Linked DNA regions of Nothobranchius furzeri. The protein of the gene in region 1 purifies or fractionates together with the protein of each later gene. This does not show direct contact. Links are inferred from orthologs where the notes say so. Each region holds a gene or a part of one and is shown on either strand. Other genes may lie near its edges.

Region 1 (5,728 bases):
TCACTGCTGTGTGTTTGTGTGATCTTATATGGACTAGATTTGTGTTGCTGGTGTTCATCTCAGAATATTTGCATAACCCCATATAAACATATATTCAAAATCTTTCAAATAAATGCTAATAATCAAAACAAAGACCCACAGCAATCCCAAGATGGTTTTTTTATTCAAAATAAACACAAATTTGGGGAAATTTGTGAATTGTTCTGGGTATTTAGAGTTAAATAGACAATCAGGACTGACAAGCAAGTAGCAATTATCACGAGACTCCAGCTAATATATGTTTAGACTATATTTCCAAATAAAAGTGCCAATTTTAGTCACGCAAACATTTGTTGATTGTTGTGACTTTTTTAATACAAAAAGCATTTGAAATAAAAACATAAAAACAAGGGAATGAGACTGAAACTGTGACCCATTCCGCTTATTGTGACCATCAATATGTTAAGAACTTCAAAGCTAACAGACTTGTTATATGTGCAGCCACCAGGTTTAAACTATTTCCTGTTGGTGTTTTAAATTTATTGATTTTCAGACGCATGAAGGTTGAATTAGATTTGCTCAAACTGGGAGAATTTACATGCAACCCTGAAAGTATAAATGTAAGGACCTCCACAAGGTTGCTCATTTGTAAACAATTCACAATTAGTCCAAAGTGACAGATTTATAGAACATGTCACCGGATTTACTGTGACACGTGAACAAAAGGTTACAAGGTTGGGGTCTAAAAAGCATCATTTTGGCTCTTTGATGTGATGGGAGTATTTCAACCTTCTGTCATTCCTGTGTAGAGCTTCCTGTTTGGACCCTGGTGTCAGGGAACAGGACAGTACATTCGGAAGCAGCGATGACAGAACTCTGCTGACCAAAATAGATCTTATTGCTGTTGGATTGCTGATTTATTTTTTTGTCTTTGTAAGAAGCTCAATCCCTTCACTGATCTCTCAAAGTCAGTTGAACAAGTGTGTGCCTCCTATGTAATTTTGCAAAAATAACACAGATGCATATTTCTTAAAATAAATCCTTGAGCATATACTCAGCGTGGGCTGTTTGGGTTTCATGATTTGGAGAGATGCAGCAATCCCAGTAAGGAGAGGCTGAGTGTGTTCTTGGAGAACGTTAGACAGGAAATGCCAAAAGCACATCTGGAACTCTTACATTAAGGAAGTCTGAGCGTGACAGCGGAGGCCTTTGCCTCGCTTAGCAGTCCACTGCTCTGTTAAACACTGTGACAGGGCAACGGAAGAGAACACTCTCTGAGTGTGAATGTGGGCTGTGTTTTAGGCATGAAAGTCATTTCCATATGGTTTGGCTACAAGATGTTGCGGTCACATTCCTTATTTGATAATAACATGGGTGAATTTAACTGCATTTGTACTTGTATAACTATAATTTGGAGTGTGTGTGATGCTTTAGATGTATGTGTGTGTGTGTTTGAATGTAATTACTAGAACGGTTGATAATTAAGTACAAAGAAGTGGAAAGGAGAAATGTGTGGCCCATGTGTTGTTTTTTGTTTTGTTTCACCGACAGGTGGTGCTGTTACACAGGCAATCAGAGGTGTCTTTACTATTTAAAATGTCTGTGTTTATGTGGCATTTGTGATATATATTTTCGAACTACTTTTGCGTTTTTTTTCCATTTTTGGCATTTTTTAATTCATGTTAAATCATGTTAAAAGTACTCGAAATTCGAGATGTTTTAACATAAAATGCAGAATATATTTGTATTCATTTTTTCCTCTATTAATATTAATACATTAGAGCACTTTTTTATCTCCTACAAAGAGGTGCACGTTTCACGCCACTCTTAAATGCACCAAATGACTCTCATTAACATTTTTTTTCTCTTGCATTTTTGAAGCTGCAGCAGACAAACGCTCGGCAAACACCTGCAGGGCAGGACTTCAAAGTTACCTATGCGTGCAATCAAAGAGGCCAGGCGAGCAAACAGATTTCAGAACAGCAATTTTACCGGTTGACGTAAGAGGTGGGTCTGGTTGTCGTGGCAACCAATTGGCACTGAAGTGTGGAGTCGCTCCGTGGCTCCGCCTCCTGTACAAATACCCCTATGGCTTTGACGTCAATACACGTCAACCAGAGAACATGATGCCTCTTTGCAAGTCAACTCGTGTGCTCTGTAGCAGATAGAGGCACCTCGGGCTGAAATATTAGAACTCTATTGTGCCGGAGAACGTGGTGTGACAGCCCCGTGGCTCCGCTAATGGCCTGTCGCGCTGAGGGAGAGAGCCGCCACATTGGCGCGTGAGCCGGCGGGGCGACGCAGAAATCAACTTTGTCTATTTTTAATGGACACGCTTCGAGCGGCGGTGGCAGCGGGCGGTTTGTTTTCCTTTCGTCTTTATCTCTAGCTGGCCGTGGGTCCCCCTCCTCCTCCTCCGCGTGTCTCTCTCTACCCCCCCAGAACTCTCCGAAACAGCTCCCATTTACAACAGCATGGTCATGGCTGACAATGTCCAGAAACCGCTGTTTCGGGGTCCGGTCAGGGTGGGCTTCTACGACATCGAGCGCACTTTAGGAAAGGGCAACTTCGCTGTCGTGAAGCTGGCTAGACACCGCATAACCAAGACCGAGGTGAGTGCGAACTTGTTAGCCCCAAAGGCTAACTTTGGGCTACTGTTCTATTGAGTTATATAACTTTTAAGTTGACACCCCAGGCTTTCGCGGTGGACAGGGGGGCTCTGTCCCGACATCACACACTAATAGAAACTCTGGTCGGGCGGCGGCTGAACAGCCGGCGGCCACATGACTGCCACAGGTTCGGACCCTGCAGGTACAGGAGCTAGTGAGCTTCAGCACGTCCATCCCTCTCGGGATTTCACTGCCAGTAAGAGATCTGACCGCCAGTGCTGCTGGGAAACACACTGTAAACATGCACACTCGGTTTTACACCGGACTTGACATCATACACCTGTTCTCACTTAATGACCCAGTGTCAAAGAAAAAGACATGTCAGTATCTGGGGATGCAGAAGGAGTTGGTGGTCTCATTATGTAATCCAACTAATGATGCGATGTTCCAGCAGTGCAGCCAGCCACGTCTCTGCAATCTGAAAGCAAAGTCTTCTGCAGGCATGCATGCACCGACTCTTTTGAGTCCTTGCATAGCTTGGAAAGGGGTTTGATATCGCAAACACTCCAGGCTCTCAGTCGCTGCAGCTCGAGCACATAAGAAACAGTTCATCTGTCAGCTCTCTGCAGAAAAGGGCTTACTGAAGCAGTACCATGGAGTACCATGACGTTCTGCTGTAATGACAGAGACAGGGAATTTACTGTAAACAGTGATCACACTACAAAAGCCATGCTGGGGTGTGTTCTGAACATAAGATTAAAGACTTGTAAAAATAAAAGTTAAGGATTTTAATCTTTGATCTGTGCAGTTTGTTTTTTGCTGATTATACTGTAAAGAAAAACAGAGACACTCAGACAGACTAATGAATAACAGGGAGAGAAAATGTCTTGTGCGACACTTGGTGTGTTCATCTGTTTGGCTGTGTGGATAAAATGTGTGACGTGTATTTGGTATTTGCTAGAGGAGGTCACATGGAGCATATGACCAAGGTTATTGGAGAGAGAGATTCTGAACATTTATTTGAAGCCATTTACCTCTAGGTCTAGTGATGCCAGGCCTGTTGCATGTGTGGGCAGTAAACTAATGTTTTAATAACACATGACACAGCAGATTTGACTTGTGCTCATGCACACACACGTCCCTAGATAGGTGGGTTGCTTATGTGCATGTGTGTAACCTACTTTTTCTAACTGACCTATTTGTCTCATTTTGTACATTTTGCCACTTGTTTGCATAGTTTTGGTCCAACAGTGATCCACGTCTGTCCTAAGCGCTGTCCAGTTTTCCTGTTTTTACTATTTCATGAGGCACTAAATTCCCATTGTAACTCCTTTTCTTCCAATTGGCCTTGCACTCGCAGAGTTAAAGAGTTGTCTTTTGCTTTGTGTGCTTGTTCAGTATTGTTTCCAGCACAGTCCGTTTGAATACCGAAGATGCATTCATCAGAAATGTAAAATTTGCAAGTTAGCACTATAAGATTTAGATTTCTTTGCAGGATTTAATGCCATACAGTACTGCATGCCAGTCTGTGTCGTGACAAGGGAGATAATAATGGAGTGTTAAACCTATTAAAACTCCCTCAGCTGCTCATTGTTGAGCAGCAACGTCAGATATGCTGAAGGAAGCTCAAGATAAGTGACAGATTTCACTGCCACTGAAAGCAAATTAAAGCTCACTGTAAACACAAAACCGAAAATGCAGCACTGTTCTTTATTTGACTAATACCTCTGCTTTTATGCAGCAGACAGGTTAAGGGAACAAATACAGGCATCATTTATCAGTTCATCTGTTGCTGCAACATGCTTTTGCATCAGGTGGCCATCCAGTGCAGCTACACATTCCTTTGTAATATGAACAGAGTAGATCTGATGGATATCTCTGAATAAAGATGGAGGATAAAACGAACATCCAGGGATCGAATCGCTGCACAGTCTGTCGCCATTTGATCAACCTTTAGAAGTCTAACTGATCAAAGACCAAATAAATGTTAAATTAATCATTATGAAAAAGAAAATTAGGATTTTTGTTTGGTTGGTTGAAATTTGCTCCCCCTGATCAGCTTTATTTGTTGGCAGACTTTCATCTCAAATGTTCAAGTTCACCTAACGGTGGTGTGAGTGCAGAGATCTGGGGTTTCCTGTTTACTTCTCCTTTTGGCTCACAGATGCCTGGAGCATTTCAGATCACACTGGTGATTTTGTTGTTTATGAGAAAGTCAGGCAGAGAGGTGCTATTATTGCCTTGTTACCCACCAGACTTCAGCAACAAATGCCCGTGATGTTTAGGGTTCGAAGATGCTGTTTACATTCGTTCATGTCCGTGAGTGTGACAGGAATGTATTTACCTGTTGGATTAAAGGTCAAGACGGTTTCCGAACATTTTTAATCCCATCATTCGATTCGTAGAAAAAGCTAAAACAAAAATAAGCTAGAAAAGGAACACAGTGTCCTGTTTTTATGTTTGTTGAATTACTGTTTTGCACTGCGGCTAGTTTTTGTGTTCATCACTTCTCATGAGCCTAAACAAGCACCTCAGCTACATGTCATCAAGGAACTGACTATTGTTGTATTGCTGATGGTTGATGTTTCTGCAGGTGGCCATTAAGATTATTGACAAGACCCAGCTAGACGCTGTGAACCTGGAGAAAATCTACAGGGAAGTTCAGATCATGAAGATGCTGGACCACCCCCACATCATTAAGCTGTATCAGGTTGGTTCTTTGTACCTTTTTATCTTCATCTTTTGTCGACTTGTCAAAAAAAAATGTAAACAAATGAGTGATTTTTCAGAAGTGTTGGATTCTACTTTCACCATGTCTCTATTTGATCTGATCTATTGTGTCTTATCGTCTCTCCGTTTTATCTTTTTATTGTTTCTTTCCACTGGATGCCTGAGTGGCGTTTGACGTAATAAATGCGTTTTCATTGCGACCTCAGAGGTGTTCCGTTTCTACTGGAAATCTTTCAGACGTGGAAATCAAGGAACCACAGAACTGCCAAGATCTCAAGTGTGATTTCACCAGTTCATGTGATAAAAATCAAGGTGAAATGTATCCAGAGGTCTGTGGTTTACTTTCTGTGCTTTTTACCTGTCAAGGAGGTGACACATGTATGTTTTGATATCGTTAAACGATGAGAAAT
Region 2 (5,389 bases), on another chromosome or scaffold:
ACTTAGTAACCTGACCTCAGTCTCTCTTTGGAAGATGACCACTCGGCCACCTTTATCCCCTGTGGCCAACAGGTCCCCCGTCTGGTTAAACTCCACCGTAGAGATGACATCGGCTGGGAGGAACATAAGAAAATGAGATGATGATTGGAATAAAAACATCAAGACATATTTTATAGCTACAGGGTAAATGGTGCAAGTATACATCCTTTTTTGTCCTCGAGATGTTTTGCGTTGAACCCGAGGAATCCTCTTTCAAAACATTCATAGTTTGGTCAGAGAAATTAAATAAATTGTGCTGAGCTGAAGAAGCCATAATGAAAATGAAAAGAAACAAGTTAAACCAAAGTGATCTACAATAATAAAATGGATAAATTATATGAAATAAACAACATTAAAAAACAGAAAACAAACATACAACCGGCCCAAAGCACCTGGTCGGCTGATCTAAGGGCCCACAAATAAAACATAATACAGAAACAGGGATTTAAAACATTAAACTAAGTAGGAGTTCTGTGGTTTTGCCCTCTCAAATTTAAAAATGCAGCCCTGGATCTAGATTAGTTTCACAGCATGCAGCTTCAGGACCAAAACATCTCACATGTGGACCAGGAGAAAAAAGCACCGCAAAGATCCTCAGGAAGTCGATAGAAAACTAGCTCATATTAACAAAGCTCTATCGAACAACGTTTTTATGTCCTTGAGAATGAAGAACTACACCTTCAATCCGGAGATTTGTAACCAAACAGAACATACACATCTGGATTTAACTAAGCAGCGCCTTCTTAGGGTCCTACAAGCCCCCAGGGTGCTTCACAACACAATCAGTCATTCACACATTCACACCCTGGTGATGATGAGCTGTGTAGCCACAGCTGCGCTGGGGCACGCTGACAGAGGCGAGGCCTGCCAAACACTGGCGCCATCAGTCCCTCTGACCATCACCAGCAGGCAAGGCGTGTTGAATGCCTTGCCCAATAACACAACAGCAGCATTCTCTGGTGGGAGCTGGGATCCAACCTGCAACCCTCCAATTACTGGGCAACTCAGAGAGGTGATGGTGGACACGTCTAGGGTTAGGGTAGGGTTAAGGTTAGAGAGAGCCTTGTGAGCTACTGCTGCCTGAGGTAAGAGCCCCCTATTGGAAAATTGCATGGGCGATTATCTTTCAGCTAATGACAAGTTATTTAACCCCAGCTGGTGAAATGAGTTGCTTCTCATTTCTTAAACAACCATGTGGAAAGGCACATGTGGTGGTCATGGAAAAGATGTTAGTCTGTTTGAGAAGGGTCAGGGTTGTTGGCATGCATCGAGCAGAGAAAGCATCTAAGGAGATTGTAGAAATGACCCAAACTGGGTTAAAGAACTGTCCAACGCATTTTTAAAGACTGAAAGAATAGTGGAGACCCATCGTCTTCGAGGAAGAAATGTAGCTGGGGGGAAAAATCTAGAATGAACGTGATCTGCGGTGCTTTCCCGTTTGGTTAAATCAACAGTAGAAGTCAGGGCTATGCTTAACAGTGAAACTAAGAGCATTTCCACACAAGGGGTGGGGTTAGGGCTGGCTACTAGGACTAAAGCCTCGGATGTTTTTCAGTCTGCCCCTGTTCCACACACAATGCAAAGGGAACTCAGGGGACTGGGAATAAACAGCTGTATAGCTGTAAGAAAACCACTAATCAGTGAGGTAAACCTGGGGAAAAGGATTCAATTTGCTAGTGAGCATAAAGATTGGACTATGGAGTAATGGAAGAAGGTCATGTGGTCTGATGAGTCCAGATGGACCCTGTTCCAGAATGATGGTGCATCAGGGTAAGAAGAGAGGCAGATGAAGTGATGTACCCATCATGCCTACTGTACAAGCCTGTGGGGGCAGTATTATGATCTGGGGTTGCTGCAGTTGGTCAGGTCTAGGTTCAGCAGCAGGATGTGCTCCAAGAATGACGTCAGCTGACTACCTGAATATACTGAATGACCAGGTTATTCCATCTTCCCTGATGACACGTGCATGTTCCAAGAGGACAATGCCAGGAGTCATCAGGCTCAGATAGTGAAAGAGTCGTTCAGGGAGCATGAGACGTCATTTTCACACATGGATCGGCCACCACAGAGTCCAGACCTTAACCCCAATGAGAATCTTTAGGATGTGCTGGAGAAGGCTTTGTGCAGCGGTCAGACTCAACCATCATCAATGCAAGATCTTGGTGAAACATGAATGCAGCACTGGAAGGAAATAAATCTGGTGACGTTGCAGAAGTTTTTTGAAACAATGCCACAGCGAATGTGTGCTGTAATCAAAGCTAAAGGTGGTCCAATGAAATATTAGTGTGTGAACCTTTTCTTTTGATGTTGACTTTTTGGGGGGCCGGACGGTGTCTTAGTAAATACAATTCAAAAGAAAGCATAAATAAGATCCATAAAAAACAGTGAACCTGTGATAAAATATCAATAAAATTTAGAATCACTAAAAACATTATCTTATTTCTAAAGCTCCTAACCACATTTCTATCTTCAGCCTGAGAATTTAAAGATGCAAAATAAGATCAGAGTTTGTCAGAATAAAAAATAAAACCAAGTTTCCTTTTTCAGTCACTCTAATCCGACCCTAGAGGTGAACCCAACTCACCTTCAGTGACGTAGTCTCGCAGGAAGGTGTGGTTGATTTTGGGGTTTTCAGCGTCCTCGCCCATCTGAAGCTGAAGGTAGGTGACCCGCCACCACACCCGTCCTAAGAGGAAGGGTCCAATCTTTGATATCTCGTCCCACCCAGGCTCCGCCCATGCTGCTGGGGCCTACCGTAGTGGCCTGAGGCAAGGCATCCTGGGAAAAGCGACCAGCTGGGAGGAGTAGAAGTTGTGTAAGGAAGAGGGAGGAAAGAGATAAACAGGATTGAATCGAGAAGGTGGAGGAGAGGGGTGGATGGCCTGATGTTGAAGAGGGTTTTGGAAAGGAAAACATGAAAGATGTAGTTAGTTAACTTCCTAAATGGTTGCATGTTCAGTGCTCTTGCTAACATGTGCTTGAATGAATTCATGTACTGTGGAATTAAAACAGGAAACCAAACATCACAAGCAGACACAGAAAACAGATCCATCCGAGGGGAACTGCATGCATTCAGCGAGAAGAGAAGGATGGAGCAAAGATTATATAAAAACATCAAACATTCATTCTGCTGTGCCGGAGGTTGTAAATGATCCCAGGGTGTGGTAGTCCTCCCAGCCCTCTGTCTCCCTCACACACAAACACACACACTTCTCAGATAGATAGTCCTTGACAGAGATCAGAGGAGAACGCGCTGTCTTGCTTGTGCTGCAGGAAGAAGGGGAGGGGGGGGGTTCAGGCCACAGCTCACCTACCAGTCCACCCGCTGCTGCTGATCCTGCTGCTGGTGTTCGTACACGTCCCTCTGCTGCAGTGTGCTCAAGCAGGGCCTCGACGTGTGTGAGTGTGTGTCCGCCGAAGGGAAGGGAGAACGAGCAGGAGAAAAGAGACAGCAAGGGTGGTGGTACGAGGAGGAGAGGCAAAAAGGAGGAGGAAAAGAGAGAGAGAGGGACAGTGAGGAGGAGGATGCAGGAGCGCTGGATTGCTGATGCTGAGGATGTTGTTCTGTGCAGCATCCACCGTGTGTCATGGCAGCCTCCTCTAGGAGAAGCCTATCACAGCACAGCTGTCACTGGTGGCTCCACCCACTGCAGGTGGTGAAGGGTGGGGGGGCGACCAGCAGAGGGAGACATTTAATGAGAATGGAGCGTGGTGGGGCCAGCCACGCTTTAAAATGAGACTGCATTCATTTTTTTATTGTCTAAATTAAACAGCTGAGTCAACTTAAAACTTAATTCATAGAAATGTGTATTTTCCCTTTCATTGGATGATTTTAATTATTAAAACTAACTGTTATTGTTTTTTATTTTTATTTTCTTATATTTATATATATATATATATATATATATATATATATATATATATATATATATATATATATTTGTGTGTGTGTGTGTGTGTGTGTGTGTGTGTGTGTGTGTGTGTGTGTGTGTCTTTAGGTGTAAAATTGATGATGTTTACACCGCCACGCCTCACGGGGGCACTGACGCACGACGTCACGGTGAACCCTCTACCACTGTCTTCAATCTGCAGAAGAAGAAGACGAGACGAGAGGAAGAAAATGACAGGGCGCGCAAAAAGAAAACCCAAAGCTATTCAGGTAATTTCTCCTCCTCCGATAAGCTTCCTGCGCTGAACGTGTCAGGTGAGAAGTCGGGCTCTCCGGGGCAAACGCAGACTTCTGTCTGGTGTCGCTGTTTTCCGGGTACATCTGTGTGAGACCATCGGGCTGAACCGCTGGAGCTGAGTGAGCGGCGGCGCTTCCAGACAACATGGCAGCAGCTGCTTCTCTGCTAAACTGTGTTTCCAGTCTAATCGTGTCCGCTTCGCATTTCTGACACGTGCGTTCGCATCTGGAGCGTTTGAGATGGGTCACCTGTCGCGTGCCCTGCAGGATAACTTGTGCATGTGTGTTTTATCCATAAAAGCTGAGCTTTAGATGGTCTCACGGCTACCTCTGTTCAGCTACTATAATAATGTTCAACCTGCATAAAACACCTTAGGTGTTGGGGACGCAGGACGCCCACTGGTGCACCTGTGTAATAAAACAAACCGTGACTATGGAGGCCATAGGAAACAGGAGGGTGTTAAACTTTAATATAATTAATAATCAGAGAGCAGCAACAGGCTGAGACAGGAGTGACAATGGTGTAACCTGGGTCCACAAACTAAAACTTGTAATTTTTCTTTTCTTCCTCTGATTCATTAGGGGTCGGATTCAGCCAATGGAGAGGTGAAGAGGGTCCGGACTGATGAGTCCACACCTGTGCTGCTGTCAGAAAGGAATCCAGAGCAGCGGGATGAGTTGACCCGGCTGTACGGTTTACAAATGCCAGAAGATCTGTTCCACTTCTGGGATTTCTGCAAGGAGCTTTGTCCCGACAACCCCTGTGGTACGTCCTGACTGCTCTCACCACTGATGGGACTAAAGCTGCAACTGGGATTTAGGCCCTGTCCACTCGTAGCCGGGGATCTGCCAAAACGTAGATATTTTTCTATGTTTTGGCCTGTCATCCACACGAAAACTGAGTTTTTTCACACGAAAACGGATCTTTTTAAAAACTCCGGCCAAAGTGAAGATCTGCGTTTTCTCCGTTTTGGGTGTCTGCGTGTGGACAGACAAAACCGGAGTTTTAAGGTCCGCAACGTCACTTTCCACGACAAAAAAATGCTGACATCACGTGTGCGACCTGTGTTTACACTAGCCGACAGCATGGATGCCCTCAGAGCCGCGCTCACTTTATCAATTGTCCAAGCGCTTTTTGCTTGTTTGTTTTTGCAAGCGGAATTA
Region 3 (4,955 bases), on another chromosome or scaffold:
AGACGAGTGTTTGCAAATGCTCACACCTATCACATCAACTCCATATCAGTAAACAGTGATCATGAGACCTATTTGTCTGCAGATGACTTGCGCATTAACCTTTGGCACTTGGAGATCACCGATCGCAGCTTTAGTATCCTTTTTATGTTTAATTCTCACCTTTACATGATTTATTTTTCTGTTGGTTGTTTCATGAGAATGAAAAATGGACGAATTGTTGAGCCTCTGAAACCTGCTGTATGTAGGGATGGATTTTTGTGTGCAAGTATTATTGATTATGTGGTCAAGTATACAGGTGAAACTCAAAATTAGAATATGGTACAAAAGTCTGTTTATTTCAGTGATCCAACTTAGACTGAGAGACTGTCTAAAGGCTCAGGAACCCTTTGCAGGTGTTTTGGATTCATTTGAGATTTCTGAATGTGGGGTTTTCATAAGCTGAAAGCCATAATCATCACAAATATAACAAAGTCCTGAAATATCTGACTTTGCATGGAATAAGTATCATGTATTACAATCACCTAAAGGATTATTAGGAACATACTAATATGGTGTTTGACCCACTTTCACCTTCAGAACTGCCTTAAAGGGGTATTATAGAAGTTTGACAGCCAAAACATGTATAGAAATAATAAATTTCTTCTTCATACATTCTCCTGCAATGCCCTGGTCCTGTAGAATGAGCCCTGACATTTTTACTGTGATTGCCTGTTTTTCTGTAAAATCAAAGAAAAAGAGAGCTGCTCGGGTCGAGCAGGCTGCTTCTTGAACATTCACGCTCAGGCATCGCCTGTAGCATTTGCCATCAGTAGCTTTAGCAGCAGAGAGAGAGGTAGTGCCAACTCAGCGACTTTGTCGCTGTTCCTAACGCCTAGTGATAAACCTAGCTACATTTCTGAGGACCCTTAGCTACTTTCTTCTAGATATTTCCTGCAAATTAGCAACAAAATAGCCATTTTCGCTCCGAACCGTTCTTTGACCATTGTTTCAGCTGTTATCAACGATATAAATGTTACAGATACAAATGACGTCACTGGTGCTTTAGCTCACCTAGTAAGATGTTGGACTCTCGTGCAGAAGACCCGGGCTTGATTCTCAATGTGAATATGGTTTAGTTAAGAGTTTATTTTTTACATTGATGGTATATTTTTTTACAGTAAGATGCTCAAATTTTTATTTGAGACTCACCGAACGGCATTGAATTCACAGATAAAAAAGATGTGGGTTCAACTTTCATTTTGGATTAATTTTTCAAGCAAGGGAAGGGAATTATCTGAGCATGCAGGAAGACTGACCCATCATAAACCTTTGTTGGCTGTGCTGAAGAGAAAGGTACAGAACCAAATCATTTAATTAATTAGCTGCATGTTGTCCTGTCCTCTGTCCTTTGGGCCACACACACACACACACACACACTCGGGACTGTCTCAGCTGTTATTTTCGTTAAGGAGTGTGCACGTACAGCATGCGCGCCTCGTGCACGAGCCTACTATTGAAGCTGCTGTTACGCTTTTGACCTGAGGGAGCATTCGCGAACATAAAAATTCAAAACACCGTAAAGTCCCTTTAATTCTACATGGCATTGATTCAACAAGGTGCTGAAAGCATTCTTTAGAAATGTTGGCCCATATTGATAGGATAGCATCTTGCTGTTGATGAAGATTTGTGGGATGCACTTCCAGGGCACGAAACTCCCGTTCCACCACATCCCAAAGATGCTCTATCGGGTTGAGATCTGGTGACTGTGGGGGCCATTGTAGTACAGTGAACTCATTGTCATGTTCAAGAAACCAATTAGAAATGACTGGAACTTTATGACATGGTGCATTATCCTGATGGAAGTAGCCATCAGAGGATGGGTACATGGTCAGAAACAATGCTCAGGTAGCCTGTGGGATTTAAACCAAGCCCATTTGGCACTAAGGGGCCTAAAGTGTGCCAAGAAAACACCCCCTACACCATCACACCACCACCACCAGCCTGCACAGTGGTAACAAGGCATGATGGATCCATGCTCTCATTCTCTTTATGCCAAATTCTGACTCTACCATTTGAATGTCTCAACAGAAATCGAGACTCATCAGACCAGGCAACATTTTTCTAGTCTTCAACTGTCCAATTTTGGTGAGCTCGTGCCAATTGTAGCCTCTTCATTACTATTTGTAGTGGAGATGAGTGGTACCCGGTGGGGTCTTCTGCTGTTGTAGCCCCTCCGCCTCAAGGTTGTGCATGTTGGTGCTTCACAAATTCTTTGCTGCATTCCTCGGTTGTAACGAGTGCTTATTTCAGGCAAAGTTGCCCTTCTATCAGCTTGAATCAGTCGGCCCATTCTCCTCTGACCTCTAGCATCAACAAGGCATTTTCGCCCACAGGACTGCTGCATACTGGATGTTTTTCCCTTTTCACGCCATTCTTTGTAATCCCTAGAAATGGTTGTGCGTGAAGATCCCAGTAACTGAGCAGACTGTGAAATACTCAGACCGGCCCGTCTGGCACCAACAACCACGCCTGTCATATTTTTATATCACCACTAGATGTCTCCAAGCTAAGATTTGAGTTTTTTCTTTTTTTGAATCCTCAAAGTTTTTAACAATTTTTTGCTCTTTCTAATCGTTTTCCTACCTTTGATCTGGAATCGGCATCAAAAGATTTTTCAAACACAATTTCCTGATTTAGCTGCAGGAGGAGAAAGGATCCATGCAGGAATGTCTGCAAGTGAGGAAGCATAAGTACGAACTCTGCAGGATTTTCTGAAGCATTCATAGTAAGATGCAATCTCAAAACAGTGCACATTCCACAGGAGCAACATTAAAAACCGCAGTGTTCATTTGTACATCTAAGTTTGTATAAGAATTTTCTTTTCAGTTGTAGAAATATCTGTTTTGGCTTTCACCTTAACCTGAGTTCTTCAGATATTGTTGACATTAAACCTGCCAACATGGAGGAGCTGACAGAAGTGATCACAGCGGCGGAGTTCCACCCTAACCAGTGCAACACCTTTGTTTACAGCAGCAGCAAGGGAACCATCCGTTTGTGTGACATGAGGGCATCAGCTCTGTGTGACAGACACACAAAATGTAAGTCTGTGTTTGTGCTGCAGGTCTGCTGCCAAATTTAGCTTTTTGCACATTTTAAAGTGTTTTATTTAATTTCTTTTTCTTACTCTGATTAAGTCATTCATCTTTTCAGCACTGAAATTTTTAAACTGTTGCACGGTTATTTAGAAACTGTTTCCTGCCCTTGTTATTCAGTTTACATCTGTATAATCTATCAACATGAATGTGTTTGCCTTTTAAGTGTTTGAGGAGCCTGAAGATCCAAACAACCGTTCGTTCTTTTCTGAGATCATCTCATCCATCTCTGATGTGAAGTTCAGCCACAGCGGGCGCTACATGATGACACGTGACTACTTGTCGGTCAAAGTTTGGGATCTCAACATGGAAACGCGACCAGTAGAGACATATCAGGTCTGTAACTGATGACGTGGGCACACTTTGGTGTTTTCTTAACGTGATTAAACGAAATGTTACTTTCTGATTGTTGTGTTTGAACAGGTGCATGAATATCTCAGGAGTAAGTTGTGTTCACTTTATGAGAACGACTGCATCTTTGACAAGTTTGAATGCTGTTGGAATGGAAATGACAGGTGAGCCCTTGCTATTTTTATTTGTGTAACCGGATTACAGGATACAATAAGATAATTAAAAGAAAAAATAAACAAATGGGCCAATAATTAGGTTCGGGGAGAATTGGAGGTTGTTTAAGAATGACTGGAGTCACGGGTATAGCATGAAACGGTTTATATACTAAATTTTAATAATAATGGGAAATATAACGCATAAAGATAACACACAAAAACAGATGAAAACAATCGACAACAGTAAAATGCTCGGTATGAGATTTGATCATATGAGTCACAAGTCAGCCGGCGTCAAGTCAAATCCCCACGCTTGGGGTGAAAGTCAGAGTCCGGTGGTGCGATTTTTTCCTACCGCACCGTTGAGATTGTTCACAGAAGAGAGCAGTCTGCTCTTCAGTTACTTGAGATGTCCTGGTTCGTTCAGTGGTTAAGGCTCGCCATCTCCCTCGTCAGGAAGAAATCCAGTTCTCGTTCCAAGTGAGTGATCATAGGAGTCGGGATCAAACCCAAGGAAAAAAAAAAACCCAGCCTGTAAACAACAGGACTGTTAGCAAGTTGGCATCGACCCTTCTCGTCACATCACAGCATAAAGTCTTACAGACTTAAACAAATGCTTCACTCTATTGGCATAGCCAATCATGTTTGGGTTCACAGTTCAACTAACATAACATCAATTTGATTGTCTATTAAAATAATTCTCAGTAGCTCTGGAAATATAATTACATATGACAACAATTGTTCAGCTCAATAGGCTCAGTTAGATTCTATTACTCTACACTATTCGACAAGAAATGCATTCATGACAACAAGGATACATTTAGTTGTGTTTCTATACAGCATTGTGACACCTTGTATATCTGTAACACAATAAATAAATAAATAAATAAACAAACAAACAAATAAATAAATAAATAAAATTTTCTATAACAAAATTAAACAAAATATAAATTCTGGTCCTTTGGTCCACCTTTGTAAAATAATTCCTCCCTAATCAGTTAGCTTTTATTTATTTTTATTTATCTATTTTTTTATTATTAAATGTTTGGTTAAGGGACGCATTGCTAATTCTATGGCGTTAGCTATAACGCCCCTGAGGACCTTGTACATCTAGGCCGTACCACCATTAACTGGCGGTTTGAGCCGTTAACTCCTGGGAATCCCATATGCCCTACCGCCGTTAACTGGCGGTTTGAGCCGTTAACTCCTATATGCCCTACCACCGTTAACTGGTAGTTTGAGATGTTAACTCCTGGGATCTAATGTCTAGCAGCCCACTGCTGTCACCTCGGTTGCTGTAATTAGCTTTTTGAATTTA

The links.
Region 2: the proteins of sik2b (region 1) and ppp2r2ca purify together in Homo sapiens (affinity purification with mass spectrometry; 3 studies listed by BioGRID and IntAct, counting the BioPlex papers as one, with this or other methods). This does not show direct contact. The link is inferred for Nothobranchius furzeri from reciprocal best matches to the Homo sapiens genes SIK2 and PPP2R2C.
Region 3: the proteins of sik2b (region 1) and ppp2r2aa purify together in Homo sapiens (affinity purification with mass spectrometry; 3 studies listed by BioGRID and IntAct, with this or other methods). This does not show direct contact. The link is inferred for Nothobranchius furzeri from reciprocal best matches to the Homo sapiens genes SIK2 and PPP2R2A.

Annotation. Positions count from the first base shown.
Region 1 is NC_091753.1:40,037,068-40,042,795, forward strand, and holds the start of sik2b (serine/threonine-protein kinase SIK2), read left to right. Parts: upstream 1-2,236; 5' UTR 2,237-2,453; coding exon 2,454-2,591; intron 2,592-5,181; coding exon 5,182-5,298; intron 5,299-5,728. UniProt on the Homo sapiens protein: Serine/threonine-protein kinase that plays a role in many biological processes such as fatty acid oxidation, autophagy, immune response or glucose metabolism.
Region 2 is NC_091747.1:78,432,905-78,438,293, forward strand, and holds the start of ppp2r2ca (protein phosphatase 2, regulatory subunit B, gamma a), read right to left. Parts: upstream 3,639-5,389; 5' UTR 3,350-3,638; intron 2,922-3,349; exon of another isoform or gene 2,835-2,921; 5' UTR 2,688-2,834; coding exon 2,624-2,687; intron 114-2,623; coding exon 16-113; intron 1-15. Other genes in the region: hpf1 (histone PARylation factor 1), read left to right, coding at 4,049-4,198, 4,808-4,991. UniProt on the Homo sapiens protein: The B regulatory subunit might modulate substrate selectivity and catalytic activity, and might also direct the localization of the catalytic enzyme to a particular subcellular compartment.
Region 3 is NC_091757.1:37,258,469-37,263,423, reverse strand, and holds part of ppp2r2aa (serine/threonine-protein phosphatase 2A 55 kDa regulatory subunit B alpha isoform), read left to right. Parts: coding exon 1-133; intron 134-2,912; coding exon 2,913-3,077; intron 3,078-3,297; coding exon 3,298-3,467; intron 3,468-3,554; coding exon 3,555-3,646; intron 3,647-4,955. UniProt on the Homo sapiens protein: Substrate-recognition subunit of protein phosphatase 2A (PP2A) that plays a key role in cell cycle by controlling mitosis entry and exit. Involved in chromosome clustering during late mitosis by mediating dephosphorylation of MKI67.